4 linked regions of the Lytechinus pictus genome follow. Each later gene encodes a partner of the first gene's protein in a complex. Links are inferred from orthologs where the notes say so. Each region holds a gene or a part of one and is shown on either strand. Other genes may lie near its edges. The genes, in order: gamma-tubulin complex component 6-like, gamma-tubulin complex component 4-like, gamma-tubulin complex component 3-like and gamma-tubulin complex component 5-like.

Region 1 (6,970 bases):
GGAAGTCAAATGTGTGGAATCATTGCATTGTATCTTCTGTGCAGGGCTTCACATGAAAGTGAGCTTGATGTGGAAGTATACCCGAGTTTTTAGGAACATTTCAATGAAAAAACTTTTTCTTTTTCTTAATTCCTTTCTTTGATCTGAACATTTTTATCATTACTTGTCGGTAACTGACAATATACACATTAACATTTACCAGTGCTACATGATTTTCAAAGACATAATTTTCTTGGTACTTATATGTAAGGCTTTTTAAAATCATAAAAGTTTCATAATACTTCACATTTTTAATTATCCAAAGATAAGAAATGTATGTTTTACTTACTCGGGGGGGGGGGGGGGGGGGTGGGGTCATAGCAGCTACATGTTTTTCTATAGTAATTTAATATTGCATTGACTGTACACATGGATTTTTCTGATTATACACCCATAATATATTCATCAGTTTTATATTGACTTTTTAAACCTTTTCCTTCTCCAACCTCCCCCTCCCCTCAAAAAGGCAAAATGAATAAGGGTCTCCTCCCCTAGGCTACATGTACCCCTCCCCCGAATCTCATGCAGCCATGTAGTTTTATTGATTTCTATTCTGGTCAGTGCAAGCAATGCTTGTTCATATCTGTCGGATTTCAATTCTCTTCATAATTTGTTTAATCATTTTCTTTGCTAATTTCTTTTATAAACTGTCAACAAAAAATAAACTCCAGCTTCTAAACTGAAACTGAACTATTTGTAAATTGGAAAAAAAAAACAGTTTTAGTAGATCCATGCAACATTGATCAGAACTGTCAAATTTCACTTTTCATCTATACTTGTAAACCAAAAACAAAATTGTATCACACATCCACACTACTAACAGGTATAAAAAATCCAGGAATGTACTTTTAGCGAGGCAATGCTCAAAAGAATCCTAGAAACTAAAAAAGGGACCCTGGAAATCCCCTTCATCAAAATGTTAAGCTTAAAAAATGTTGCAGATTTAGGCAATAGATTGGAAAAAGTACCCCCTACCCCCCCCCCCCCCCCGAAAACCAAACAAAAAATTGTCTGATACAAACAATTAGGTACTTGGTAAGTACATGTACAAAACAATTTCATAGTAATTTTTTTTGCACAATGGGAATGCAACTTCCTTCATAATTTCATATAGTATTCCTTGTGAACTATACCTTTTAAAAGTAAATAGCAAGCTCCTTCTGGTGTGACTTTTAAAGTGAAAGACTTAAATAACAAGTATACAATATTTCTTCACCATAAAATTTACCACATATTTGCATTTCAATATTGGTAACCAACGTTTTATCATGGTAACTGACATTACATCTCGGTAACTGACATTACATTTTCCACTTGGTAACTGACATTACATATATTTAATGGTACCCTATGGCTTCATTGTTGATTGGTAATCTTTAATTTTGGTGTAGAAGGGAGGGGTGTTACCTAGAGAGGAAATCTACCAAGTTTCATATAATATATCCTCTTTTCCAGGAAATGAGAAAAAAAAGTTCATGTTTTCGGTAACTGACATTACATACCATATCACATACTTCATCAATGTTTTTTTATCAGATGAATGAATTACTGGTGTTTCTTTCTGAGGGATTTTAAAAAGTGTTATAATAGCAAGCTAAATCACAGGCGAAAACATCATGATCAAACCTGTTCTTTAAAAATCTGTCAAAACAAAATATGTATCAATATACTATTTTCAACACTAATTTGTATCCATACTTTGGCAGCCATTTTGAAATAAAAAATGGCTGCCAGAGTCGGAAAAAAATTTTGTCTCAGAAACTTCAGGTCTTGTTTTATTAAAAAACATAAAGCATTTGACATGAATATCAACTTGATTTTTTTGCCTCTGTGTCCATCTGTGGTGAAAATGCCCCTATAGCAAACCATGTATTAAAATTTACAATAAATTGTATCTCTTTATGTTCCCCTCCTTGAGGACTTATCAAAACAAGACTTGAGCTTTACATGTATGTATAAAGCAGGGCTTCACGTACCTCTTTGGAAGTCAAACCAACAGTAGGAAGATTTGGTTTCTGGTGACCAATTACAGCCTTGTGAGAGGACTGCTTGGTTCCTGATAGTGCCAGAAGAAATTTAATAACTCCCTCCAGGAATACACTGTCTTCTTCTGCTAATGAAAAAGAACACACAGCAACAAAATTTGTGAAAATAATTAAGCTTTAGGTGAAATATAACGTATGACATGGATCACATTCGCAAATGCTTTAGAATATCTCAGGATTCATGTGAAAATTGATATGATAGATTTTATTTAATATTGTCTATTCTTGAGTGATTAAAATGTGAAAAATCTATGGCAATTTGTATACAAAACAGTGTGCAGTAATTGTCAATATAATGGCAAGGAGAGCGCATATGATCAACCAGAAACCTTCCAACGGCTCATCTCATGAGTGGTGATTCTGCAGAGCTCTGAAATCCTGGTGGGACAGTCATACCAACAAAGCTGACAGATGGTATGTCACTGGAAATAATATGATATCTTTGGTCGGTCTGGAGTTGGTTCCCCAGGTGTGACTGAAGCATAACTTATGCTACAAGGATGCAAGAGTTGGATGTTGCTTACCGCTCAACTTTGAGAGGCGATCCAAAATCAACTCCATTTGCTGTGCTTCGTCGAATCTCCTCTCCACACGAAGCTTGAAAATGATGATGACAAGTTGCTCCTTGGGGGAGTAAATCCCAGCTGCATTGCTTCTGGCTGAACAGCTGTGTTGCAGGGGTCCAGGGAGACTTCCAAAGAGGGAATCGAACAGTCTGGTCTGCAATCTCTGGCGAAACCTGGCGATATCCTCGGCATCTTCTCCCAGGCGGATTGGACGAGAGGATCCCAACGTGTCACTAACAGCTCTCCGAACAAGATCCTTAAAGAGTTGCTGGGGGGATGTGGGGTCAAGGGTCACCATTTTCTTGCAGGGTATTTAAGTTTATTTACAAGTCAATCAAGCGAAGGACAAGAAGACCTGTATTTTTAAGTACAATGAAAAAAAATGTGATAGCTTATTAATTGTGTAGCAAGAAAGTTAAATTCATCAAGAACAATAACATAGTCTCAATGGTCACAAGACACAAGTTCTTCATTCTTTACAATTTCTTCCCGAAATGCCCTATCTACCATCCATGTCAATCTGCCCTTCAGAGCATTCTTGTCCCCTTTTGAATCCCATGGTTCTTAAATAGCATATGGCTATTTGCGGTAAGTCTATAATTAGTAACCATAACGTTGATACATGTATACTTAAAGGAGAATGAAACCCTTGAAACCAGCTGAATCCATATTAAAGAGAAAAATCAAAGAAACATATTGTTGAGGAAGATTGAATGAATAATAAGAAAGTTATGAGCATTTGAATATTGAGATCACTAATGTAATGTAGATCCTCCGATTGGCAATGCGGCCACGATCTGTGATGTCACACACGTACAACTCCCTCTTTACTTTAGTACTTATTTCACTTATATTCTCACTTTTATAGAGTCTATCACAAGGTGAGGTGTTCTCTTTATGAGAGGACAAGTACAGAGGTTTCACAACATTATATCATTGATGAATCGTTTGTCATATAATTAGAATGAGCAAAAAGAGATGTTTTGGGGTATATTTTCAGTGTCCAAAAGGGGAGAGTTGTTCATCTGTGACATCATAGATCTTGGTCGCATTGCCAATGGGAGGATCTCCATAGCATTAGTGATCTCGACATTCAAATGCTCATAACTCTTCTATTGCTAGTCCTATTTTACTCAAACTTTTGTTGATCTTATTCTTTGATTTTTCTGCTTTCACAAAAGCTAACTTGCTCCGAGAGTTTCATTCTCCTTTAAATTACAAATTGAATGCTATTATTCCCGACATTATGCAAAGTAACACGATTAAAAGGCATGAGAGGGCTATATTTATATATTGACTGGTCTTTAGGGAGACTAGGGAGGACATATATCCCTAGTCATATTGCCAAAGGCAATGAGCAGGAATTATATGTGGTAACTCCCAATAGTAATGCCAGTCAATATCATTATAATTATTATTAATTATTACTTGTTTCCCAGCATATAGCACTTTATGTATATCGTCTATACAATTAAAGCAAAGTTAATGCATGCTGCAGTCAATAAAATGTTGAGTACTTGTGGAGACTAGCAAGTAATGCATGTAATTGTTAGCGCAAATGTCAATTTATGCACGCTTGAATTTGACCATAATACATCCAAAATAATACAAGTATGAAAGTACGAACTTTTATCTTGTCTCAAACATGGCTCATTCAGGTAATAATATAGCTAATATGCCCAGTAATCCTAAAATCAGCAAGAATCCTAAATAAAAAATAGAGTGAATCCTGAATAAAAAATAGAGTGAAGCACAGGTACAGAATGGCTAAAGAGCGGAAGTATAGAACCATATACACTCAAATGTTGACATCAATAGCCCCGCTCTAGTGGTAAAAGCGTCAGGTCAAAGCTCTATGCTGCACTGATGTACAACTTGCATGGGTTTGAATCCTGCTCAAGATCCTTCTCTAGTTAGCTTTGCTTTTAGAATAATTTTTTTTTTCAGTAAATGCATTGATAGGCCAACCAATGAATAGCATATTTCTTTTTAAATCAATACTGACTTTCAACAATGACAAACAAGAAACTTAGCTTCATGGTTTTATTTAGTCAAATATGGAATTACATATTTTTTTATTAATACATGTACCAAGCATTTCCCTGCTCTTCAAGACCACTCTCCACTCTCAAGGCCACTTTCACACAGTTTAAAAATATATATATCGATCACATTCACTAAATAAATCTCACTATACATAATAACCTGTCTTCAATCAAAGACATTTTAAGTGCGATTTATTTCGTCAGAATTAATGACACTGAATAAATATAACCTGCTCGCCAAAATGGGAACCAGTAAGTCTATGGAAAATTTTCCATAGAGTTGTACACACTCGTTCCCATATTTTTGATCGCCATGGAATTTTGAGATCGCGATACCAGCAAAACCCTTGTCCTTGACCTAGACCTCTACTTTATTATAATTCCGTCAAGCAAATTTGACTTAGGGATCTTGCCTTTGGTCTGGTATTCATGATTTTGATTAATTTTGTGTGAACTGTGAGAAGTTTTTGATTAAAATCAACTTCATGATAATTTTTTTAATGTGCGCAAATTATGGTCACCCAATCATACAACTGAGATGCAATGCACCCATGGGTGCCCCAGGCCAAAGCCAGGCCAGGACCAGGCACTGTTGTGTCCCCATGATGGTAAATTACCAATTCGTCTACTGCCAACTCGTCCAGGGTGACCAGACGTCCAGTATTTCCTGGGGATCGTCCCATAGTTTGCTCCTTTGTCCCGGCTCCCGAAAAAACCCTTCCCGGAATGCCTATTTGTCCCGATATTTCAGAATTTTGAACAAAATATAATTAAAACATTTGAAAGTGACGAATTTTTCATCAAATAACCAACAGATGACGAAGCAGAGATAACAATAAAATCGATAACTATAAACTTTTGCAAGTTCTGCTGTGATTTTCTTGCTAACCCAATACATTATTAACGAACTGGCCTCCCTACTCTGTGTGGCAGGCTACTAGCTAGGCATGTAGGATCGGAGCAGATTCTCAATGATGCAAACAATCTCACATGATAAACAGTTTTTCCACCAAAATAATCATATAAATATATTATGGATTCTCAGATTACTGATTTGGTGATGAACCGGAGGAACAAGTTATAGAGTTTTCATAACTAGATCTAGTTGTTTCATCTTTCCTTTTGAGTCAAGTTTAACAAAATAACAAAGTTATTGAATAATTTTGAATTTTAAAATTTATCAATATTTTGTGAAAACAGTCGTCATAAATATTCATTAGGTGGGCTGATGATGTCACATCCTCACTTGTTCTTTTGTATTCTATTATATGAAATTAGGTTTATTCAAATTTTTTCCTCCAAGAACTAGAAAAATTGGATTGACAACTGATTTAGTGCATTAGATATTTATTGCTGCAACTTATTTCATTATAAGGGAGAGATATTTATTATTATTCACACAAGTATGAAATAATGAAAAAATTTTGATTTTGTGTAATAACATAAGAAAACGGAAAGTGGAGATGTGACATCATCAGCCCACCTAATGAATATTCATGACGACTGTTATCACAAAATATTGCTAAACTTTAAACTTCAATAACTTCATTATTTGGTATTCGATTTTGATGAAATTTTCGGTATTTTGCTCAGTGAATTCTACTCTATGAGTCACTCACACTAGTACGAGGTTAGTATATATATATATATATATACTAACCTCGTACACCGGACCGTGTTTGACCCTGGATTTCGAAGTAGTCGGCAAACATCGCTTCATTGCTGAAGTAATATTTGCCGAAACTCCTTCTCGCTACTCAGGGCTCTTTCCGGTAAGTAGCAATACATTAAAAAATTAAAAATGTAATTTGAATATAATAATCGGTCAAAAAGAGCAAATTTCGCTTACCTCGGCCTGGAAAGTGACTTCGCTTGTCTCTTCTACGGAAATACAAGGAAGCCCGTTGGTGGCGCTAATAAATTTCACAACCTTGATTCAGCTCCTCGGTAATTTTATAACTGTGTCTAAATTCTTTGAATGCGCAATTCTCATGATTAATTTACTAATTATGGGCACCAATAAATGAAATACCTTCAAAAACATAATTCAAGATTATTATTGGCGATGATAACACTTTTTTGCAATTAATTTAAAACGATGACTAATAAATAAAAATTGAAAAAAATATACGTGCCTGGAACGGAACCAGCAGTACAGGCTTTAACGAACGTCAATAATACGGTATACCAATGTCTATACAATAAAAAGATTGGACACTTGACGGACTTTGCGTAATGCCTTGCGTCGATTTGCGTGTAAAATAGTGTAGGTGCC
Region 2 (8,010 bases), on another chromosome or scaffold:
AAGCAATAATACCTACATCCTGTTCCAGGTCTAATAGAGCTTTTCTGTATGGTTCCAGGACCTTGTCTAAACCTGAACAGAATGTCCTGAGATACAATCCATCAGGGAGTCTATCCACTGGCTTAATTTCTGAAAAGAGACAAGAACATTTCACATTAAGTGTGACCAATCTTACTATTTGCTCATATTCATGATTTATTAAAACAAAGGAAACCAAACTTCATGACTGTTTGTGAGAGAATTTATTTTAGTAATTATTTTATATAAGTTGCAGAACAATAATGTTCAGTGTTGATTCGACTGAACAATAGCATATATAGTTCCCAATTTAATGCTAATGAGATGTATTGTAGGAGATTACTTACCTTATTTTTCTAATACACCTAATACTAAACACTGCCAAAAAGGACAACTTGTTAGTTGAAAGAAATCTTTCTATTTAAAGAATTTTCTAAAGGTTTCATTATTAATATTTATGCCCAGCTATTTCTGTTTATCTCGGGTCCCCTTCCCTATCTAATATAATAAAAATTCCCTGAAACAAATCAACTTTCTAACTGAAAGATTGATTTCTGAAAAGATCTATTGTATCTAATAATACTTAATAGGAGCTTTTATGGAATGGAACAAACTCCCTCTCACAATAAGACAATCCACAACAATCGAGTCCTTTAAGAAGTCCCTTAAAACTCTTTTGTTCTAGGCAACTGCCTTCATTTAATATGTCATTCTGCTTTTTTGTTTGTATAAATATGTTAACTGAAATTGTGAGCGCTTTGGGCCATGTGGGAAAAGCGCGTTATAAATATTGAGTATTATTATTATTATTACTATTATTATGAGATTGAATGCACAATCCAATGATTGCTATTTTGTTCTCTATTGCTAACAAGATCAAACTGGGAGGAAGTATAATTTTCTCACAGAGGGGTGTGCCAAGTCTACAAACTGAATTTCAATGTAGGTCAAAGCATAACAGCACCTCAAAATAGAAAAAAAATCCTTCTGTCTTGTATAAGTTTACCTTGATTATGTTTCCCTAAGTAAGGACTGCCACTGTATCTTTTGATGAAGGTCTGGAGATTCTTATAAATAGCCCCTAAACGACAAACTCTGTTGAGTACACTGACTTCACTCACATGGATAAAAGGAAGATCTGGAACAACCTAGAGGCAAAATAAAGAAATATGATAATAAACACAGATACATGCCTTGAGATTCAAGTATGCTTTCCAAAATTTCTTGGGCCTCTGCCTCTGATATATCCTGGATCCACTCCTGGTCAAGATTACAATGTTAGTTTAGATTATACCGTTTGTTTATGAACAAATCACGTACTGCTGGCTTCATTTAAGGTGTGAAGGTTTTTCTAATTTCTTCTTTAATTTATTGTTCCAAAAAAATAATGTTTTCCAAAGATTGCCATAATTGAGGATGAACTGCAAGGTCTTTTTTCAAAGTATTTTATTCTGTTGGTGCCCTTATTTCATCAAATAATAAGAGGATTGTGCAAATGATGAATTTTGACAAAGTTAAAATTTTGCCGATGGGCTGAATTAAAACTGTGAATTTCATTAGCCCCACCATGTATCTCATCTCTATGGTCCAATCCAATCTCATTGAAACCACTGACCAAGCAATTTTTATTCATTTTCTTATTTCAATAAAAAAAAATCAATGATTTTTTACTACTCTCAATGCACAGTTTATTCAGTCTTAATTAAACCAATTTCAGGCAAACATTACTTACTTTATGAATAATAATAAAATACAACATTTATATAATGCTTAATACAATGTTTCTAAGTACTGCAAACTATCACTTACTTGCTCACTTCTTTTCCACATAAAAGGGTGGTGGGTAACGTTATATTATTGCACAGGATTTTAAATAGAGTTTACAATCGGATCAAAAATTGCAATACAATAATCTTAATTTGATTAACTCAAAGAATCATGGAAGAAGAAAAATTGAAGAAGAGGAAGAAGTAGATAGAGAAAGAGGAGAAAGAATAAGAAATAGAAGGAATAGAAGGGGAGGAGCAGGAGGAGGAAGAAGAGAAAAAAAAGAGAAGAGGAGAAGAAGAGGAAAGTGAGAACAAGCAGGAGGGGGGAGCAGGGGAAGAAGAAGACAAAGACTTTTTCAAAGAGGATGAGGAGAAGGAAGAGGAAGACAGAGAGGACACCTGAGGAAGAGGAGGAAGATTAAGAGCAGAGAAGAAAAGAAAGAAGAAGACAGCGGAGAAGTAAGAGAACAGGAAGACGAGGAAGAAGAGGGAGACAAAAAGGATGAGTAGGCTGTAGGAGGAAGATGAAGAGGGACACCTGAGGAAGAGGAGGAAGAGCTAAAGGAAGAGGAAAAAGGAGGAAGACCGAAGACAATGCCAAGCCCAAGGGGAAGAATCACTAGAGGGGAGGAGAAGAAAAACAAAATGAGGAAGTGAAGAAGGAGAAGAACAAGAACAAGAATATTTACCACAAGACAGTTCCAACCTTTCATTTTCAATTTCATTTCGACGTAGGCCTAGGCCTAGATCATCTATCTAAAACAGGAAGCAAAGCACCTAAAAAAATAAAAGTAAAACCTACCAGCACCTTTCACTTGTCACTCATCACATTCACAAGCTGTGCTTTCTTAGTTGCTACCTCTTTTGCTTTGTTCAAGTTCTTAAAATGTATTGATGCTTTATTTATCATTGGAAATAAATGTACTTCATTCATTCATTCGTTCGTTCATTCATTCATTCATTCATTCGAAATTAGCTTAACATCAATTGGAATGAATGGGACTGGAGTCTAATTACCTGTATATCACTGTGCCCATGTTCCATAAAAATACCCCCAGGAAATCCATTCAGAGCCATCAGTAAGTCATGTAACATCTTGGTTGCAATCTAGATGATCGAATCGAAGAGAAAAATCATGGATACAGACTTCTGCAGAGTCGGAATTGAATATTTATCAGGCCCGTTTCACATTAGGTTAATGAATTGTCTGCAGATAGAGTCTATTGCCTACTAGAAGAAGTTGTTCTTTGAATAATTTATATTGATTTATAAAGATGTATGATGATTCTTTGTTCCTTTAAAATAATTTATAGTTGTAGAATTTATTTTATTTTCGTCTTGCAGTTTAATTTTTATTATTTATTTTCATATTTTATTTTAAAGTACCTAATAAAATCTACTTTTTAGTACGAGCCTGTATTTCACAATCGCGCGAAACTTGTGTGGAGCTACTGTTATCTCTTAATATCATAAACGTTTTTATTAGTTAAAAATAAATTAAAGTACATATTAAAATGGATGAAGTAAAATCTAGCACTTCTTTGGATCCTAAATCCAAGTCAGGAGAATCTGGAAAGTCGGGGGGAGCTGGAAAATCGACTTCCTATGAGATGCCTTGGTAAGTGACTTAGCCTTCGCCCTTGGTCCCATTAGCTATAAAATTTGTTGGTAGAAATTCTAGAATTATTTGGGTCCAGGCCCAGGGGCCTGGGGCCTGTTGCATGAAAGGGTCTTTCGTAGAACCATTCTACGTAAGAACGAGATATCGCTCAACTGTTTCACAAAGCCGATTTGGGCGATACGAAGAATGGTCCTTGGAAAGACACCTCCAGACATGTCCTACGTAGGCATGATCTTCTTTGCACACCGCCCGCCACCGTCTGCATTGAGAGAAAATGCGTTTATGGCAAGCCACACTGACATATCACCTTTAAACATTTTTGGCGCCAAGTTATTATATGGGGGACTAGTTGTCATCAATTTTAGGTCGTCTGTTTGCACGGCAAGACGACCAAAAACAGATGTCATTTTAACTTCTCCGGGCATTATGTCCGGGGGTAATGTTGTAGGCCCAAATATTTTTATAAATATTTTTCCTTTTAAGTTTTATTCTCCGTCCTATCCCCACACCATTTCCATTAATTTTTTTTTTGAAATATCGAAATGGGTGGCACTATCTCTCTGACCCTCATGCTTTCTCATTATAGATAATTAAACAACATGAAAACAAATTTCTTTAAAATAAATTATGTAGGCCTAAGGTAAAAACGTGTTTATAACGTTTAGCAAAAAAAACACGATACAAAACTAAAATGTTAAACATGGTAAATCATTCATTTATTTTTATTTCATTTTCATTATAATTATTTTTTTTTGCTGAGATTAATTTTAATCAATAAAAATTAATTGTCGGATTTGGGCTAACTGGAGATGTGAAACAGTGAAACAAAACAAAAAATCTGCAGTAACAAAATAGCTCATTGAATTTAAGATACAGATTAGGCCTATAGCTTACGAATCCATCACAATTATTACAAATGAAGATAAGCTAGTTCATTAAAGAAAAGATTATGGAAAGTCCATACAAAGAGGCGCATTTTAAATCGTAGGGTAGGCCCTTTTCGGCCCCTATGCAATGTTAAAGCAATAATGTAGTCTCTATACTCCTCAACTTTGAAATGTTGAACATATATATTTTTTATATTCTTAAACCTTATATTCTTATATAAGCTTCCATAAATTAAGTGATCGACTTTAAAGATGACCAACGTTTATGATCATTGTAATATTTAGCATTATTTCTGTAAATAGTATTTTTTCCATTGCGGATTGCACACCGTTTTCTATGTTTTAATTGTTATTGCAAAGCACTACTTTATCCACTTGGACATGTTTGCATATTTTCCTTGTCTTCTGTTACTCATCATGCAACTGGTATGTTTATACCCTAAACACTCATATTTGTATTTCTTGCGTTATATCTGACAAATAAAATAAATAAATTAGATTTTTCACAGGCAGCCTCTCATATTTTCCATTTTAGTCTCATACAATCAGACACTGTTGATTTTGTTTACTCCATTCAAACCCTATTTTTACCTCAACAGATAACTTATTCACGCATAATTTGCAAAATCATCATTATATATATGTATTCAATAAAAAATCAGTATATTGAACTAATAAAATGTCGAAATTACTTAGTTAAATCAATTTTTATGTCGGACAAGGGTCTGTTTCGTTTAAATATCAATGAAAGGTGTCTCTAAAAGGACACTGTGTTCTAAATAAAGAAAATAATGAAAATTTCGATTTTATCCAGTTATGTTTGTGAATCTTGAAAGTTTTTTCTGTTTTTGCCTCATAAAGTACGCTCCATACATCAATTCTACAATCGGTAATAAATAAAACATTATTTGATCCCCTTTTATTGAAATATATGATTTTATGAAAAGCCGTCATTCCAAAATAAAAGGTTCAGGTGACGATGAAGACTAAATATTTTTCCGATACTATCGATATCAAACGATGTCACGGACTTGAAAGACAAAATAATTGCATTCGTGAAACGGAAAGCGCTGATTTGTCGCCAATCTTCCTATCTCGGAAGAATGGTCCTAGGACGTTCCTACGTATCGCTCATCTCGTCATGCAACATGCCCCTGTTTCACGAAGGCAATTTTGTCTTTCAAGTCCGCGACATCGTTTGATATCGATAGTATCGGAAAAATATTTAGTCTTCATCGTCACCTGAACCTTTTATTTCGGATTGATGACTTTTCATAAAATCATATATTTCAATAAAAGGGGATCAAATAATGTTTTATTTATTACTGATTGTAGAATTGATGTATGGAGCGTACTTTATGAGGTAAAAAGAGAAAAAACTTTCAAGATTCACAAACATAACTGGATAAAATCGAAATTTTCATTATTTCACTTATTTAGAACACGGTGTCCTTTTAGAGACACCTTTCATTGATATTTCTACGAAAGAGACCCTTGTCCGACATAAAAATTGATTTAACTAAGTAATTTCGACATTTTATTAGTTCAATATACTGATTTATTATAGAAAACATATATATAATGATGATTTTGCAAATTATGCGTTAATATGTTATCTGTTGAGGTAAAAATAGGGTTTGAATGGAGTAAACAAAATCAACAGTGTCTGATTGTATGAGACTAAAAAGGAAAATATGAGAGGCTGCATGTGAAAAATCTAATTTATTTATTTTATTTGTCAGATATAACGCAAGAAATACAAATGTGAGTGTTTAGAGTATAAACATACCTCAGTTGCATGATGAGTAACCGAAGACAAGGAAAATATGAAAATTGCTGCAAACATGTCCAAGTGGATAAAGTAGTGCTTTGCAATAACAATTAAAACATAGAAAAATGTGTGCAATCCGCAATGGAAAAAATACTATTTACAGAAATAATGCTAATATTACAATGATCATAAACGTTGGTAATCTTTAAAGTTGATCACTTAATTTATGGAAGCTTATATAAGAATAAGGTTTAAGAATATAAAAAATATATATGTTCAACATTTCAAAGTTGAGGAGTAGAGAATACATTATTGCTTTAACATTTTAGTAGGGGCCTAAAGGGGCCTACCCTAAAGTGAAAATGCGCCTCTTTGTATGGACTCATTTCCATAATCTTTTCTTTAATGAACTAGCTTATCTTCATTTGTAATGATTGTGATGGATTCGTAAGCTATAGGCCTAATCTGTATCTTAAATTCAATTAGGTATTTTGTTACTGCAGATTTTTTGTTTTGTTTCACTGTTTCAGTACATCTCAAGTTAAGCCCAAATCCGACAATTAATTTTCATTGATTAAAATTAATCTCAGCAAAAAAAAATGATCATAATGAAAATGAAATAAAAATAAATGAATGATTTACCATGTTAAACATTTTAGTTTTGTATCGTTTTTTTTTTTGCTGAACGTTATAAACACGTTTTTTTACCTTACATAATTTCTTTTAAAGAAATTTGTTTTCCTGTTGTTTAATTATCTGTAATGAGAAAGCATGAGGGGTCAGAGAGATAGTGCCGCCCATTTCGATATTTCAACAAAAAAAATAATGGAAATGGTGTGGGGATAGGACGGACCATAAAAGAAAACATATTAATTAAAAAAAAATATTGGGGCCTACATTACCCCCGGACATATAAAGCCTGGAGAAGTTAAAATGACATCTGTTTTTGGTCGTCTTGCCGTGCAAAAAGACGACCTGCAATTGATGACAACTAGCCCCCATATAAAAAATAACTTGGCGCCATCCCAGATAAAATGCATCAGTGTGCAACCCAAAAAATGTTTAAAGGTGATATGTCAGTGTGGCTTGCCGTAAACGCATTTTCTCTCAATGCCGACGGTGGCAGGCGGTGTGCAAAGAAGATCATGCCTACGTAGGACATGTCTGGAGGTGTCTTTCCAAGGACCATTCTTCGTATCGCCCAAATTGGCTTTGTGAAACAGTTGAGCGATATCTCGTTCTTACGTAGAATGGTTCTACGAAAGACCATTTCATGCAACAGGCCCCAGGGCACTCTAGGCGACACCCCTATTCAAACTCAAAGCAGTGTTAAAAAAGGCGGCGACTCCAAACGAGTACGTTTTGGCCTTGAATTTCCAGCCCATTCCTCTAAATTACGGCCTAAATTTAGGTCTAACTTATTTATTATATGTTATTGTTAATTTACCATGTTTACTAATTTTAATTATATTTATAATGTAAAATGGGTACTCACCGTTTTTTTCCAAATTTTGTGTTTTCATCCCCTCTTCTGGCCAACTCTTGCGACAGCTGTTGTCACCATAGGATCCTGTACATGCAAATCCAGGGCGAGTTGTCACATGACGCTCACGAGTCTCTAGGCTTTTTGGCCTTTATTCAAGGCGTTCTTTTTGTTAAATTTTATAATGACGCTTATAATATCGAAATCAATGTAGACGAGTCTGTGCAGGGGCATAACACTTAAACGGGTGTATATGAGGGGGCACAGCACATGTCACGTGTGGAAAATAAAAGTTATGTAATGTAAGTCCCGAGTGAGCAAAGCGAGCAAGAAAAAGAGTTATCATGATAATCTAACTTTGAGATAGATTTTGACAATGATCTTACATTTTTTTGTTTCCTCCGAGTACATTTTTGCGCCATGGTCCAAACCCTTGTTACCCCCGCGCTACATGTATGTTG
Region 3 (7,464 bases), on another chromosome or scaffold:
CCATCAGATGCTCCGGGGTTAGACATGGTGAAGCTTGCCATTATCTACATCACCTACCGACAGATAATCAAAGAGAATCAGGAAGTCAAACATATGATGCTACACGGTAAAAGCAATGGTTTGAGTCTAGTCATCTTGTTTTGTCTTGTCTTGGATTAAATCAGGAATGTGTTATGAAGGATAGGAATCTATCCGCTAAGTTCCAGCCTGCTTTAACCCCATCTGACGAGCCGGCGACGAGTCCATTGTTTTTAAACATGTGTTTCAACAATGCCTTTTCAGCTGTTTCAACAAAACAGACATTTTCATTTGGCGACAGTTTCTCGTAGCAACAAGAGAGATTTGGATTTTAACTTGGCTGGTTCAGTTTTAATAATGCATTAGTACAGTATAACGGGTATCAGCAAACAGAAATAACCATAATTCGAGTAATATCAAAAGTTAATTATCTCAGAGCCGACAAATAAATTATATAATTACTGGTATACAAAATGTGTTCATAATCATACACCTTTTAAAATGAGTGAGCTCTAAAAGAGCGCAAATTGTCGGAAAGTGCTGCAATTTGTCCATTTTGTAAGTAGTTATAAAATTGTATATGTCTCTTTTTCACGATTCTATCATATTATGTTGACATGAAAACATCACAAGAGCTTCCCTTTTGCTGTCCATAACTAATTTGAAATTTTCAAAAAATATTGAGCCAAAACAATGCTTCTAGAGACAAAAATAGTAAATATTGATATTTCGCTTCGGCAGAAGCCAGTCGGATCCAAAGGGTTAACATCGGCACGCCACATGGAATATCAAACCCCCGGGGGGGGGGGCACTCAGTATATAATGCAGAGTGGGTATGTGCCGCGGAGGGGACCCCCATTTTTACACTGAAATTTCCGTTCCAAGGAATAGCATTTTTGTCTTATTGAGAAAAAGAACAAAGAAAGCCGCTCCAAGGCATAGCATTTCCTTCTTATCGAGAAAAAAGAAGAAAGAAATCCGCTCCAAAGCTTCGCATATTTTTCGTTACGCCGTTCCGGTCGCATTGATCTGCTACAATTTTGGTGAAAAGCGGCCGTAGAGCGCGTTTCGACCATCGCCTAAGCGCGAGCGCACCCGGCGGAGGCCGCGCTAGCTGCGTCATGCACGATTGCCCGTTCCATAGGGATGCATACGCACTTACAGAGATCCGTTCCGAGGACCCCCGTTTTCACAAACATTTGTAGTTCCGAAGCCCGTTCCGAGGACCCTCCTTTTTACAATAAGCCCGCTCCAAGGCCCCCGTTTTTTGCCTCGCCCGCAGCACACCCCTACCACTTTTTTGGTCGAGTGCCCCCCCCCCCCCCCCCCCCCGGGATCAAACCCCCGTGGAATGCTTTGTCAATGATTGGGATGCTATAGATTTTCAAATTAATGTATTGTGCTTGAGTTTCCTTAGACAGCTGGCAGCCGTCTGTTTCGAGGAGTTTTTAAACATTTTTTTATTTTTTTTATTTCTCCTCGTACACAGACGGCTCGCTAGCGTGCAGCCACCATTAGGGGACTTGCAATGCAAAATCCCCCCGTCGGGGCTCTTCAATTTTTGTCTTTGATGAATAAAATTTTTGAAAATTAACGCGACCAAAATGCAAATTAATATTCCCTCTTGGCATTAATTGCCAAAAAACAGAGAAAAATCAAGTTAAAAGGAACAAAAACAGTGACTTATACCTCGGCTGTCGCGCAAATTCACTTCCCCGTTTTATCCGCTCTTAAGTACATAAACATATGGCCAGTGAGTCCCCTGTACAGATCGCGCTAGAACTTCGGTCTCTGTATTTGGTGAGTGAAGCCAACGGAGTTCAGCTGAACGACCAACATAACAGAGACTGAAGCTTTTGGTCTAGAGTTTCCTTAGCCCTGTTTCGTTTCACACTGCATCTCTTACTTAGCACCGCAATTGTGGTGCTAGCACCACAATAAGCCGGCTAACCCTGCTATTTTGCAGGGCCAGATAGTACCGTACTATTTACCGTGCTAGCCCACTTTGCTAAAAGGAAAACGAAGTGGGCTAAGCTGCCTTAGAGTTAGACAGCTGCCAGCCGTCTGTTTCGAGGAGTTTTTTAACATTTTTTTTTTTTTTAATTCTCCTCGTACACAGACGGCTCGCTAGCGTGCAGCCACCATTAGGGGACTTGCAATGCGAAATCCCCCCGTCGGGGCTCTTCAATTTTTGTCTTTAATGAATAAAAAATTTTGAAAATTAACGCGACCAAAATGCAAATTAATATTCCCTCTTGGCATTAATTGCCCCAAAACGGAGAAAAATCAAGTTAAAAGGAACAAAAACAGTGACTTACCTCGGCTGTCGCGCAAATTCACTTCCCCGTTTTATCCGATCTTAAGTACATAAACATATGGCCATTGAGTCCCCTGTACAGATCGCGCTAGAACTTCGGTCTCTGTATTTGGTGAGTGAAGCCAACGGAGTTCAGCTGAACAACCAACATAACAGAGACTGAAGCTTTTGGTCTACCTTAGAGTCTAGACTTAGAGTTAGCTTAACCCCGGAAAATTGGTGGGGCTAAGAAGACACCCCTTAGCCCCACCAATTTCCTGGGGTTAAGGGGAAAAAGTGCAGTGTGGATAGCATATCATACTCCCGATTAATAAAATCTTATCTTATCTAACGTAAAACAAGTTTATCAGTTTATAACCCTATTTTAATTTTTACCTTCTATTGAATGTCGCCACAGACACGAAAGTGAATGCGTGGGTCATGTACAATCTCTGCGATCGGATCCTCGTCGATCTAACTTTATAATTATATTTTCTAAAGCCTGAAGAAATCATGATATTGCCTTGGTAAGGAGGTAAAAATAATGAAATCAATTCAGATCAATATGAGTGTCTGTCTAAACAAAAAAAAAGGTATAAAAAAGCTACACTTACATTACAAGTTATTTTCAGAATCAGATACAATTAACAAGTACAAACTTCTCGTTGAAATCTACGCCTCGGCGCCAGTTTTTCAGACCGCTTTTTAGCTTCGATCTCATTGAATTGTGCGCACTGCGCGTGAACACATCCATGGCAGGCATGGGGCGGCTTTCCTCGAGCCCCCCCCCCCCCTCCTCCTTCAAAATATTCAATTCAATTCAATTCAATTCATTTATTTTCTCTTTCAATCTTTTTACATTTACAATAATAGTTCAATAAACATATTTACAAAATATAACATTTAAATCATTTTTTATAATTCAATAATACCATGAAATCGAAAGGGAAGGAGACCAACTAAAAAGCAGAGCTTGTAGGGTGAAGGCCCCCTTTTATAAGTAAATTTTATGAATAAAAAATAAGATAAAATAAAGAAATAAACAATATATATATATATATATATATATATATATATATAAAATGATCTTAAAAAATAAACAAATAAAAATAAAAATAAATACATAATAATAAAAATAAATGATTCAGTATACACTGTATACAGAAATCATAAAACGATTAAACATATATACAAAGAGAAATTAATAAACACATTTACATATTAAGTTCTGAATTACATTACTTTGGGAAAAAACGATAATCTAATATGAATTCAGAAGATATATTTTAAGTTTTCCTTTGAAATTGTGTATTGAATTACATTGTATAATATCCTTTGAAAAAGAATTCCATAATTTTGGACCAGTAAAAACAAATGTCTTCTGTGCAAACGATGTTCTATTCAGAGGTAAATGAAAGGAACTCGCCTGGCGAGTGAAATGCTTATGAATTGTATTATTTTTTACAAACATATTATTAAAAGGTAACGGTAATTGTTTATTGATAAACTTGAACATTAACTGTCCGAGTTGAAAAGAATATAAATCTTCAACCTTCAAGACTTTATTTCTCAAAAACAGAATATTTGTATGTGCCCTGAATTCTGCATGACTAATAATACGAATCACTCTTTTTTGTAAAATAAAAAGTCTATTAATTTGAGAATTCGCTGCATTACCCCACGCAACAACTCCGTGATTCAAATAAGGTAAAATTAACGTTGAATACAATGATAACAAAATAAAATGGGGTAAGAAGTAACTTAATTTTCTAATGACACCGATGTTGCGAGCAATGATTTTACAAATATTATCAATATGTGCTTTCCAAGAAAGTTTTTCGTCTATGATCAGTCCCAAAAATTTAGTAGATCGCACTCTATGAATGACAATATCATTTAAAATTACATCTTTTGGTACATTCGTAATCTTGTTGCTAAATAGCATGTAGCTAGTTTTTTCTAGGTTAAGAGAGAGTTTGTTAGCTGTTATCAAATTAGACACATTTTTTAGTTCGTCATTGAATATTTGCGTCAATTGCTCTGGGTCGGGGTGCGACAGAAATATATTAGAGTCATAAGCGAAAAGTATAAATTGAAGCAATCTAGATGACATATCAATATCATTTATATAAGTAATGAACAAAAGTGGGCCAAGAATGCTGCCCTGTGGAACTCCACAAAGGACAGGTTTACGTTCAGAAATATTACAATCGAGTGAAACGAACTGTGAACGCCCGGTTAGATAATTCTTGAACCACTTTAGTGGTTCTCATCTTATTCCATAATGAGAAAGTTTATAAAGGAGAATGTTATGATCAACTGTATCGAATGCTTTTGAAAAATCTAAAAACAAACCAATCGTATTCGAAGACTTGTCATAAGCTTTGGCAACTGTTTGAACTAAAGAAAGTATTGCGTGGGAAGTGCTACTCTTTTCCCGGAAACCAAATTGAGTATCGGATAGGATGTTGTGCTTTTTTAAAAAACATATGGTTCGTATGTGAATATGAATAGATGGATAAAATAAAACAAAATAAAATGAAAAATGAGAGAAAAAGAGACGGGAAAGTGGGAGAGGAAAGACAGTTATAGCTAGAGATGACAGAAAAAAAGGACTGATTAAGATCGGAGAGAGACGGGTGAATTGGGATGCTAAAAAGCATATATTTATCCCGGATATATCTATCTACCCAAATAGGCCTAAGTTACATGGAGCTTTTAATTTTGAGCTTTTAACTCATTTTTTTTTACCACAAAGCAATGGAACTCGATCAAGAAGAAAACAAGTGTTCGGGTGATGAGACAGGGGGACAGGACTATCCCGGTCCCCGGAATTGGTCGATCCAGATAGGGTTGATGATCTATATTTTACACTTATATTGGAATTCAAGCATTATTTTACATGATTCATTTCTTGACAATTTCCTGGTGACTGAGGTATCAAGATGTTTCATATATGTTTAGACGTGACATTTTCTTCTTTTTTAAAAATCAGATACTACCGACCAAATGTTTTTTTCACTAGTTCATTCGTGAATTCAAATCTGTCAAGTTGTACAACTTGGTGAAAGGCCTATACAATAATAGGCCATTTCCCTATTTTATACGTGATGATCATGATAATTTTATTGATATACTTTCGACATCGAATAAGTCCAACATGATTATTCTTTAAACAGCTAGTGGTGTAAACAGCGCGTCTATAAAACCGGGGGGGGGGGGTGGGGGTTGATGCGGGTGGATGATTCCATATCGTAGGCCTAGTGGCGTACGCAGGGGGTGCAGGGGTTCAAACACCTCTTTAATATTTTTGATACCCAACCCCCCTCCCAAGCCCCTAAGAATTCAAACCCCCTTAAAAAAATATGAAAACCTTTTTTTTTGCTTGTCGAATTTTTGGGTGGTTGGAAACGACCTAAATTGGAAAACCTTTTTTTTTAGGTTGTTAACATTTCAATCACCTTGAACCCCCCCCCTTAAGAAATCCTGCGTACGGTCTGGTGTGGAGGTGCATGTGGGTGTGTGTGAGGGGGATTACCCCCCCCCCCCCCCATTGGTAGGCCTACATGGTTAGTGAGTGGGCAAAAGAGGAAACATATGTAGGGGCCTATTAGGTAGAAGAAAGAAATCACAGAAAAAGGGGCGGGGTGGGAGGTGCATGGGCCAGAGAAAAGACAATGAGAATCAAAGAAGGAAAACAAGTTAGGCGAGGGAAAGAAATGACAGGTATAGTTCTCAGAGAGAGAGAGAGAGAGAGATTGAGAGTGGGGGGAGTTTATGCTCATATAGAGGAAAAGAGAGTGAACGGAGAAAAGGGGAATCATATTGAGAGCAAGAGAGGGGGAGAGAAGGGGGAAGGAATTGTGAAAGGGGGTGAGAACTTAGGGAGTGGACAAAAGAAGAAACGAGAGAGCAGGGTAAAAAGGGGAATCACAGATATTGTGAAAGAGATCGAGGGGGAGCGGGGAAGAGGGGGGGTTCTAAAGACGGTTAGGGGATTGTCATTACATGAAAAGAGAGTTAAAGGGATGATCCAGGCTGGCGATATTCATATCTCAATAAATAGAGTAAAATTCACAAAGCAAAATGCTGAAAATTTCATCAAAATCGGATAACAAATAACAAAGTTATTGAATTTTACAGATTTGCATTATTCCAGTGAACCAGGTCTAGGCATGTCTTTATGAATATTCATTAGGCGGGCTGATGATGTCACATCCCCACTTGTTCTTTTGTATTTTATTATATGAAAGTAGGTTTATTCAAAAAATTTCTACCAAGAACTAAAACAATTGGATTGACAACTGATTAAATGCATTAGTTATTTATTGCCGCAACATAATAATTTCATCATAATGGAGACACATCATTTGCATATTTTGGCGGCCATATTGGATTTTGCCAATTTGCGGATAATGCTCAAGGTTACACGAGTGGCATCATCCAGATTCGTAATCAGCACCCTCGAATTGACAAGAAACCTTCAAAAAATATTGTATATATAAAAAAAACAAGGTTTGGTCAATTTTCTATGGGGCCTATCCTGGACTAGAAGGTGTCCAACAAAGTAGGGATGTCACTGTGGCGATCTCTCGAAAGCTTCTTGCTGCTCCTGGTTGAGGCCCGGTTGCTCCTGCCGGTCGTGACCCTGCTGCTTGATCTTGGAATCTTTCGTTAGTAATGATGATTTGCATATATTAATTCGTTCATACATCGCGATTTTTGCAGTCTAGTGCTCATTTTTGTGAAATTATTAGTTTTCCCTTTTCATATTTTACATAATAGCTAGTGTATACAATGGCCTATGGCGCCCATTTTGAATATCAGAAACATAAATATTTTGTCAAAAATTTTTTTTTCAGAGAGTATTTCACTCCTGCCACACAATTTCATGCATTTCACAGCCAATGTGCGGACAATTTTACGATATTCATGGGTAATTTGCATATTTTGGCGGCCATATTGGATTTTGCCAATTTGCGGAAAATGCTCAAGGTTACGCGAGTGGCATCATCCAGATTCGTAATCAGCACCCTCGAATTGACAAGAAACTATCAAAAAATATTGTATATATAAAAAAACAAGGTTTCGTCAATTTTCTATGGGGCCTATCCTGGACTAGAAGGTGTCCAACAAAGTAGGGATGTCAC
Region 4 (7,911 bases), on another chromosome or scaffold:
ATGTTGTTTATTTTTGTTTGTTGTAATTTTTTCACTCTTATGAGAAAATACATGAAAACTCAGAGGAAAGGATATTTCATTTCCAGATGGGTCTAACTCCTGTATTTATGTTTTCTTTATTATTAATTGTACTATTTATTTTTTTATTCACTTTTCTTTTTTTAGGGGTGCAGGTGGGGGTTGTGTTTTGAATTGGAAAATGGGGATGGGATTGGTACAAGTTTTTGTGTCACTTTTGTTTCTCTTGTTTTTAGTGCTTGTTTGGAGCTTTGATGTCTGTTTTGTTGTTTAAAGCTTTGTTATATATTTTTACTGGTTGCTTTTTGTTTTGTTTTGAAAGAAATAGACCACTCTTTTCCTTTTCTTTTGGCTTCGACTAATAATTTGAATTTATTTTTCTTTAAAAAGAGAGCTCAAACAGGGCCTTTGTAATACAATGTATGTATACAAATCTAAGAAATTGACAACTGATAGAATATATTAAAACTTCATTTTCGTCCTTCTTGATACTTGAAATAAATTGCATACAATTCTACATACATATTTTACACTCAGCTGCTCATTCCTTCTAAAAAAATGTAATCACATGTCCATTGTCTCTCAAATCAAAAGCTACATATTATAACAAATTGTTGAAACAATAGAATACATAAGGAATTGGTGAAACAATCAAATACATCAGAAAAAAACACACATATTTTTATTTGGTCATACAAAGTACAAAATAAATTTTTTATATGTAAAAAAGGACCCCTGTACATACAAAATTACAATACTAAGTTGAAAAAGAGCTTGTAATTTATATCAGAAAAACAAAGAAATACATTAGAAATTACAAAAACAATACTTTAGACAAATTTATTAGGAAATTATCTACATGATGCTGTTTTGATGCCAACTAAATTATATGAATTATCTATCATAATCACCTTCATTTGGCAAAATAAAGAGGCGAGTAATTGTGATTTTCTGTTTGCATAATTAATTAGAATTAATTAGAAGAAATTATTTTAAACAGAATAAGAAAGATTACAAGATGAATTGATGCACATCAATTGAGCCTTCTCTCACCTTTCCATTGATACCTAAATTACTTCATAGGGTTAAAAAACAAAGAAGTTAGAGCCTGTTGAAGACTTGGGTTCAAAATGGTCACAAAATGGTCACAAAAATCGGTTCTGTACTCCATTGACTTTACATACAGACAATGACCACAAATTTGGATCAATATGTGCGACTTAAACTGGAATAACTTTATAATTTCTTGATGAAAATTAAAGTTCTTGGTATCATTTTAAAGGTCTTTTTAAGAGCTTTCAAGTGATACCAAATTTATTCATATTTGATGATTTTCATTTTTTTTGTCACATACCTACTCCTAGTACCAATGAGGTCCAAACATTACATGTATGGACCTCATAGGCGACAATGCGTTAAAAACAGGTTAGAAGTAGAACCGTTACTGTTTCCTGCACCCAAGTATGATATTACTCCCTAAATACAATTTTTTTTCTCGTTTGTTTATCATTTATTAAAAGATTGCCCATTAAATATCATATTATTTCTACTTAAGATTTAATAAAATAAAGGGAAACTTACATTTGAGTCCTTTTTCGATCTTTTCTTGGCAGTCAGTGCGGTCACCGTCGAGTGCGATCAAAGCGGTATGAAGCTGATTTTCAGATCACGTGATACGTGTAGTCATCTTCTTCTTCTTCTTTCCTTGGTTGGCAACCAGTCAGGATTGACTATTTTTGCCACAGCTTTTGTTCATTTTCAGTAGCTTATTATAATTTTTTTTCCTTCTCTCTTTTAATATTTTTTTTCTTTTTCCTTCATTTTCTTTTCTGTTATTTTCTTCTTTTTTTTCCTTCTTTTTCCTGTTCATGTTTTTTTTTTTTCTTTTCTTTTTTGTCTTCTCTTTTCTTTTTCTCTTTTCTTTTCTTTTCTTTTTTTTCTATTTTTTTCTTTTTCTTTTCTTCTTATTTTTCTTCTTTTGTCTCTTTTTTGTATTCTTTTTCTTTTTTTCTTTTCTTTTCTTTTCTCTTTTTTCTTTTTATTTCTTTTTCTTTTCTTTTCTTTTCTCTTTTTTCTTTTTATTTCTTTTTCTTTCCCTTCCTTTTCTTTCTTTATTTATCATCACCTGATCTATTGACTATCCTTTTTTAAAGACCGCAACAATTATAAATTTTATTATAAAATATATATAGAATAAATAATTGCATGATATTATATATATCTCTACAATTAAAAATATTTTGTGATATAAATTTAATATTTGACGTAAAAATCGCTATTTAACAAAATATTTATTAAAAAGTAAAAAATAAAACAAAATAAAAACGCCTTGGACACAGTGCAAAAAACCTAACGATTTGGCCGCGTTGTTAACAACTATCGTAAGGGGCGCTCTATTTATAAATAAAAAAGAATGTAGGCCTACAGCTGTCTACCGCGACGTGGTTTGTCGCAAGATTTGGGACAAATCCTTGGGAATTCTTGAGAAAATACATCAAAAGAACTGGTGAGTACCGATTAAACATTATCAAAGTAGTAAATAGGTTATACATAACTTGTAGATATATATTTTAAATTGATATTGATGCTTAGTTCCAAGCTAGGGCGGCCCAAATGTGCGTGAGTGGAGTCCCAGTTTATTAACACGGGTAAGTATTGGGGTGTCGCCTAGAGTGGTACTAGGAGGTTGCTCCAGCCGGCACCGGGCGGTGGGGAAGACAGCCGTCTAACGTTAGCGGTGCAGCCAAGCCAGGCCCGGCCCCAGGCCAAGGGGAACACAAACCATGCAAAGCTCAGCTTTATTGGACATCATACAACGTTCGACATAAATATGTGACAGAAAGACCGGTACCTGAAATTGTGTCAGTTTCTTCACTAGTTTCCTTGTTTCCTGCTCCATGATTATAACAAGCTCAACAACTTCAAGTTCAGCTCAAATTTGATGCAGGCGCCATTTCCGAGCGTGTAGTGACGTCATTCTTCGATCTGTGGGGGAATTCCCTGACTGTCTTCGGTTTGGATACAGGGGAACTTGGGAAGTGAAGAATTTCAACTTCATGCCCGCTTATAGAACTATTCACTTTACTTCAATCAAGGAGATTTAAGACCTCTATGCTTCAATTCAATTCAATTTACTTTAAAGTTACCAGTCTATGAAATATATATGGAAATTTGTCCTTCACTGGCTTTTAGATTAAAAAAGAAGAAGAAATTTCCACGCGTTGACATTATATTTTTTGGCGGCCAATCTTCACCTGTCCATTTGCTCTGGGGTTAAACTTCCCCTTCAAAGAAAACTTACGCTCTTATATAGACACGACATATGATGAGGCTAATTGCATAACGCAGAATCACCAAACAACCGAAAAAATGAGAGAAAAAAAGGAAAAATAGAAAAGATTAAAAAAAGAGAAGTGATAGAAAGAAGTGGAATCGGGGAAGAGAAAGGAAAAGAAAAAGCCGGGAAGGAAATGCAAAGATAAAGAGGAGTAAACTTAGTGGAGGGGGCGCAACCGCGTAGCCAGGATTTCATTTTGGAGGGGGCGGTAAATGCACGCGAAGCGGGCCAACACTTACAGAGCGCGCGAAGCGCGCTCCCTAGGGGGTGCTTTCGGTGTTTCTTAAATTAAAATGAAAAGGAGCCGTCTCTCCTGTCTCTAGTACCTATATCAGCTCCAATTCAGTTGACTATATTTTGATTTTGAACCTTGTTTTTAAAAGTGATTGTGAATGCACAAAAAGGGATAAAATGGAGGAAATTAAAATAATATTTACCCCGCACGAAGCGCGAAAGCTAAAGCGTTTTATCAATTTTTTTCTAAAGAAAAGGGTCCCGAGATAAGGGTATTCCCTATATAATACTGAATGCTTCCCTTGGAAAGATCAGATTTGATTACAAACAATTTAGCGGCAGTGCAGATCTTTAACTCGCAAAACAAGAAGGGTATTTTCCGGGCCAGGAAGATATTTCTCCCCGTGCAGAGCAATGAAACTCTGAAATTTCAAAGTGCGGACCTTTCATCAAATGCATATATCTCTACCCCATCGGCTCTCATTCAATTAATTTTCTAAGATTATTGAACTTCATTACAAGGAAAATAGTGCGCAAAAAGTTGAAACTTCTGTGATTTATTGAAATTATATAAAAAAGGATGATGTATAATTTCTTTGATTTATCCTGAAGCGCTTAATTTTGAATGATAAAGAAACTTAAGTGTCATTCAAAATTTCAAACTGAGGGCGCAAAACAGGACAGGAAATGAATGTGCAGGGAAATTTTAATAGAATTTGATTTAAAAAATATTGTACTTTTTTATTTAATATGACACGAATTTTGTACCTTCCTCTTTTGAAATTAGGAACCTGTTTGCCCCCAAATTATGGTTGTTTAGTAATGTGCTGAAAAGCGGGAGAAGTGGCCTATATGGAGGTGACGGCAGAAATTGATATAAAGATTTTACCCGCCCGAAGTCGACCCGACCAGAAGTTGCGCGATCAATTTGAAAAAAAAAGATAACTTAAATATACTTCGGCCTAACCTTACTCTTATTCCATGCCCTAATGTATACATTTAACTTTAACTGGCAAGAAACACATAGCTGAGGTCGAAAAACAGGGTTAGAGAAAAGGTTAGGGAAACAAAGGAGAACTGCAATATTGTCATTTAACCGCGCGCAGCGCGGAAGCAAAATTCATATATATAAATTTTAAAATAGAGCACTGAAGAGTTTCTCTTTTGAGAAAAAAATAAAGAATAAAAAGAAAAACACACAAAGCTACCTTTCTTCCCTTCGCTTTTCCTTTTCTCCTTTCTTTTTTCTCTTTTTTTTTTCTTTTTTGGGACTTTTTTTTTGGGGGGGCGACCGCCCCCACCGCCCACTGGCTACGCGCCTGAGGGGCGGGGGAGATCAAAAAAGGGAGAAATTGGGAAAAGAAGAAGAAACAGGAGAGAGAAAGACACTCCAAATAAAAGAAAATGAAAGAGAAGAAAAGCTGATAAATGAAAAATAAAAGATAACTAAAGAAAGATGTGACAGAGATTAATTTATAGGATGAATAGAAGAAATAAAATAGCTTGTGAGGAGAGAAAGTAGAAAAGGAGAAGGAAGATCATAAGAAGTGGAGAAAATGGAGAGGAAATGGCTAGTATTCCGAGTAACCTATATATCTAGTGTCATTAAAACAAAAGTATATAAACTCCTCAAAAAAAGTTTGGAAATCTGACTTTGATCGATAATCCCTCCTCAGTTTTAGTAAATATCAATGTGTAATTAATATCAATGAATAGACCATTCAATTTTCTTTAAAATGATACCCTACATGATATGATTATGGTTCACATGCAACCTTGAAATGTGGGGCAAGGTCAAAATTCAAAAGTTGCAAAATGACACACTAAAGTCACTGTTCTTTTTTCCGTGGTGATGAGTGAGTTTCTCAGCGGTTTCTTTTAACTGTTTTCATGTACCTTATCATCAACATTAACATGGAATCAAACACACCTCTGCACAAGCAAACACATAACAAACAAACAAACAAACATGCATGGGTATTTCAAACCACGACTCAAACCATGTTATCTCACAGAACCATCACTACATACACCACAACAAAACATAAAAAATGAAGAAGCAGGGGCTTGATTTGAATGGATTTTCATTTCTAGACACAAACAAGAATTTCTGCTCGTTTTGCAGCTTTTCAATTCAGACCTCATCCAACACTTTTGAATCCTGCTCTTTTCATGATGGCATGATCATTACAAGCATGTTATCATTTTCAAGCGAATTAAATGATCTTTTAAATGATATCAAATATGCATTGTGTAAAATTGGGAGTTGGGAGAAACTAAGATTTCCAAACTTTTTTTTGCTCGTTTTGCAGCTTTTCAATTCAGACCTCATCCAACACTTTTGAATCCTGCTCTTTTTGTGATGGCATGATCATAACAAGCATGGTATCATTTTAAAGAAAATCAAATGATCTTTTGAATGATGTCAAATATGCATTTTGAAAAATTGGGAGTTTGGAGAAATTAATGGCCAAACTCAGATTTCCAAACTTTTTTTGAGGGGTTTAGTGTATGGCTTGATCGCAACCCGGGTCGCAACCTACCCTCACTCTCTCGTCAAGATGGAATTGACGTCACTTTTATGATTATAACCGTCCTGAATGGGCGGTGGGGCAGAGGATTATCCTTTAATTGTTCTATGGGGGGGGGGGGGTGGGGACATCTACTGTTGCGTCCCCGGCACAAACACATAAGATATTCCTCTGCTTCGCCGCCCATCATGCTCCCTCCGTTTTTATTTTCATAGTCTTCTCTATTTCATATTTACGTGACATCCTTGGCCAACTCAATTCAAGTTAATTTTATTGCTCATCACCGACACGTGTTTTGCTCGCTTTTAATCCTACTTTGGCACATGCATACACAAACATAGGAATTCTCCATGGGCCTATACTGTACAAAGAATAAAAAAATGTATTTTTGAAGTATATAAAATAAAATGAAAGATAAATCAAAATATATCTAAAGATCCACAGCACATTTTCAAGCTTCATTTTTCCAAACGGTGCCTAATATTCTGATTTTGTTATATCTTTAATCTCATGCGTTGTAAAGTTATTTATTTCAACTGTTCCCTATTAATTCTGGCTCGATTATTTTAATCAAATATATGTTCCTCCTGGTTATGTTAAACATAAATTAGTTCCTTTTTTGTGCAACCTACCTGTTTTATACTATTATGTTATTCCATTTTGTAACTCTATTGTATGTAATGATCTTTGTTCACCCAATCCGGTGTGGAAGGGAAGGCCTGTGGGCCATGGCCATTAAGTTGACCTATTCCCTACCCAGGCTACCTGGTTGGTTGAGAAAAGGTCTAAAAAATATTTGTATTTTTGTACTGCATTGTACACGCTGTCTTGTTTTTGGTTAAGTGCCGAATAAAATAATAATAATATTTTGACATGGGAGCCAAGTCATAGGTGCGTACTAGTATCCTGGGTGGCATTAAAAATAAAGGTGATATATAGTTCTAGGCCTATACCCTATACGGCCTCCATGTTTTTTTATTTCCTGTATCTTTTATTCTTTCCTCTATCTTTATTCTCTCCATTTATGTCTTGTTCACCACCATGATACCGGTGTAAAAATGGCAGAGGTAAAAATGGCAAAGGTAAAAATGGCAGAGGTAAAAATGGCAAAGGTAAAAATGATAACACTTGAGTTGGTATTTCTTATTTTTTCCTGGACTTACATGCACGACCTTCTCATGTCAAATCACTCTCACAGAACGGAGACCGTTGAAAGACCACTGAAAGACTTAAAATTTGTGATGTCTAAAGGCCCCCATTCCACAGAACGGAGACCGTTGAAAGACCACTGAAAGACTTACAATTGATGAGGTCTTACAGCGGTCTTCAAGATCACTGAAATTTGTCATCTCTGTGAAATGGCTCAGAAAGACCCCTCAAAGAACTCTGAAAGACTGATGGATATTTCTTGTCTTACTGGTCTTAGACAAGTCCTATAGAGATCTTTCAATGGTCTTTCAGAGATCTTTTATGCAACAAGTGATCTTTCAGAATTCTTTCCATGGACTTTGCCTGGTCTTTCAATGGTCTTTCAATAATCTCTCATGAGTCTTACAGTGATCTCCGCAAAAATCTTGAGAGACTGCCGAAAGATCATTGAAAGACTATGAAGACCTTTGAAAGTTCATCGAAAGACTGCTGAAAGACCGCTGAAAGACCACTGACAGACCATTTTCTTGTAATACCGTTGTAAGACTGTTTTGAACCGTTTCAAAAATTTTTGGAGCCCATGAAGACCACGAAGACCGCTGAAAGATTGGTCAGGACTCGTGTAAGACCTCAAAGACCATT

What was found.
Region 2: the proteins of gamma-tubulin complex component 6-like (region 1) and gamma-tubulin complex component 4-like are in contact, whole or in part, in a cryo-EM structure (PDB 7QJE), measured with the Homo sapiens proteins. The link is inferred for Lytechinus pictus from reciprocal best matches to the Homo sapiens genes TUBGCP6 and TUBGCP4. Residues at the interface, in NP_065194.3 of Homo sapiens: Leu312, Thr313, Ala315, Gly316, Arg317, Ala319, Phe320, Phe323, Leu326, His327, Glu349, Pro390, Glu391, Ser392, Ser395, Leu396, Glu399, Tyr403, Ser455, Leu456, Leu457, Thr458, Gly460, Phe461, Lys464, Lys465, Arg468, Arg471, Tyr472, Glu475; in NP_001273343.1 of Homo sapiens: Met1, Ile2, His3, Glu4, Leu6, Leu7, Ser10, Gly11, Tyr12, Pro13, Gly14, Ser15, Ile16, Gln29, Phe31, Pro32, Phe33, Leu34, His35, Pro36, Glu38, Thr56, Ile59, Glu60, Thr63, Val66, Gln67, Gln68, Ile84, Arg87.
Region 3: the proteins of gamma-tubulin complex component 6-like (region 1) and gamma-tubulin complex component 3-like are in contact, whole or in part, in a cryo-EM structure (PDB 6X0U), measured with the Homo sapiens proteins. The link is inferred for Lytechinus pictus from reciprocal best matches to the Homo sapiens genes TUBGCP6 and TUBGCP3. Residues at the interface, in NP_065194.3 of Homo sapiens: Pro65, Arg67, Asn68, Leu71, Met72, Ser74, Phe75, Asp76, Arg78, Asp87, Glu90, Asp151; in NP_006313.1 of Homo sapiens: Pro9, Asn10, Val11, Leu13, Gln14, Glu25, Ala26, Ala29, Gln30, Phe32, Gln33, Val36, Arg37, Ile39, Gly40, Ser41, Phe43, Thr129.
Region 4: the proteins of gamma-tubulin complex component 6-like (region 1) and gamma-tubulin complex component 5-like are in contact, whole or in part, in a cryo-EM structure (PDB 7QJE), measured with the Homo sapiens proteins. The link is inferred for Lytechinus pictus from reciprocal best matches to the Homo sapiens genes TUBGCP6 and TUBGCP5. Residues at the interface, in NP_065194.3 of Homo sapiens: Glu290, Ala291, Ser292, Lys293, Arg294, Arg295, Cys296, Trp297, Glu298, Arg299, Val300, Gly301, Cys302, Pro303, Pro304, His306, Arg307, Glu308, Glu309, Pro310, Tyr311, Leu312, Glu314, Lys322, Arg325, Leu326; in NP_443135.3 of Homo sapiens: Asp211, Asp212, Arg213, Trp215, Leu216, His219, Val220, Val221, His222, Trp225, Ser230, Phe232, Pro233, His234, Leu238, His239, Ser240, Asn241, Leu242, Leu264, Val265, Thr266, Glu267, Thr268, Gln269, Arg272, Val302, Thr303, His304, Leu305.

Annotation. Positions count from the first base shown.
Region 1 is NC_087247.1:26,636,050-26,643,019, reverse strand, and holds the start of gamma-tubulin complex component 6-like, read right to left. Parts: upstream 3,014-6,970; 5' UTR 2,949-3,013; coding exon 2,609-2,948; intron 2,153-2,608; coding exon 2,016-2,152; intron 1-2,015. UniProt on the Homo sapiens protein: Component of the gamma-tubulin ring complex (gTuRC) which mediates microtubule nucleation.
Region 2 is NC_087246.1:1,561,872-1,569,881, forward strand, and holds the start of gamma-tubulin complex component 4-like, read right to left. Parts: upstream 3,017-8,010; 5' UTR 2,883-3,016; coding exon 2,805-2,882; intron 1,167-2,804; coding exon 1,025-1,166; intron 130-1,024; coding exon 17-129; intron 1-16. Other genes in the region: replication factor C subunit 2-like, read left to right, coding at 3,302-3,405. UniProt on the Homo sapiens protein: Component of the gamma-tubulin ring complex (gTuRC) which mediates microtubule nucleation.
Region 3 is NC_087260.1:8,324,432-8,331,895, reverse strand, and holds the start of gamma-tubulin complex component 3-like, read right to left. Parts: upstream 3,015-7,464; 5' UTR 2,929-3,014; intron 2,777-2,928; exon of another isoform or gene 2,711-2,776; intron 54-2,710; 5' UTR 42-53; coding exon 1-41. UniProt on the Homo sapiens protein: Component of the gamma-tubulin ring complex (gTuRC) which mediates microtubule nucleation.
Region 4 is NC_087245.1:32,376,136-32,384,046, forward strand, and holds the start of gamma-tubulin complex component 5-like, read right to left. Parts: upstream 3,008-7,911; 5' UTR 2,918-3,007; coding exon 2,870-2,917; intron 1-2,869. UniProt on the Homo sapiens protein: Component of the gamma-tubulin ring complex (gTuRC) which mediates microtubule nucleation.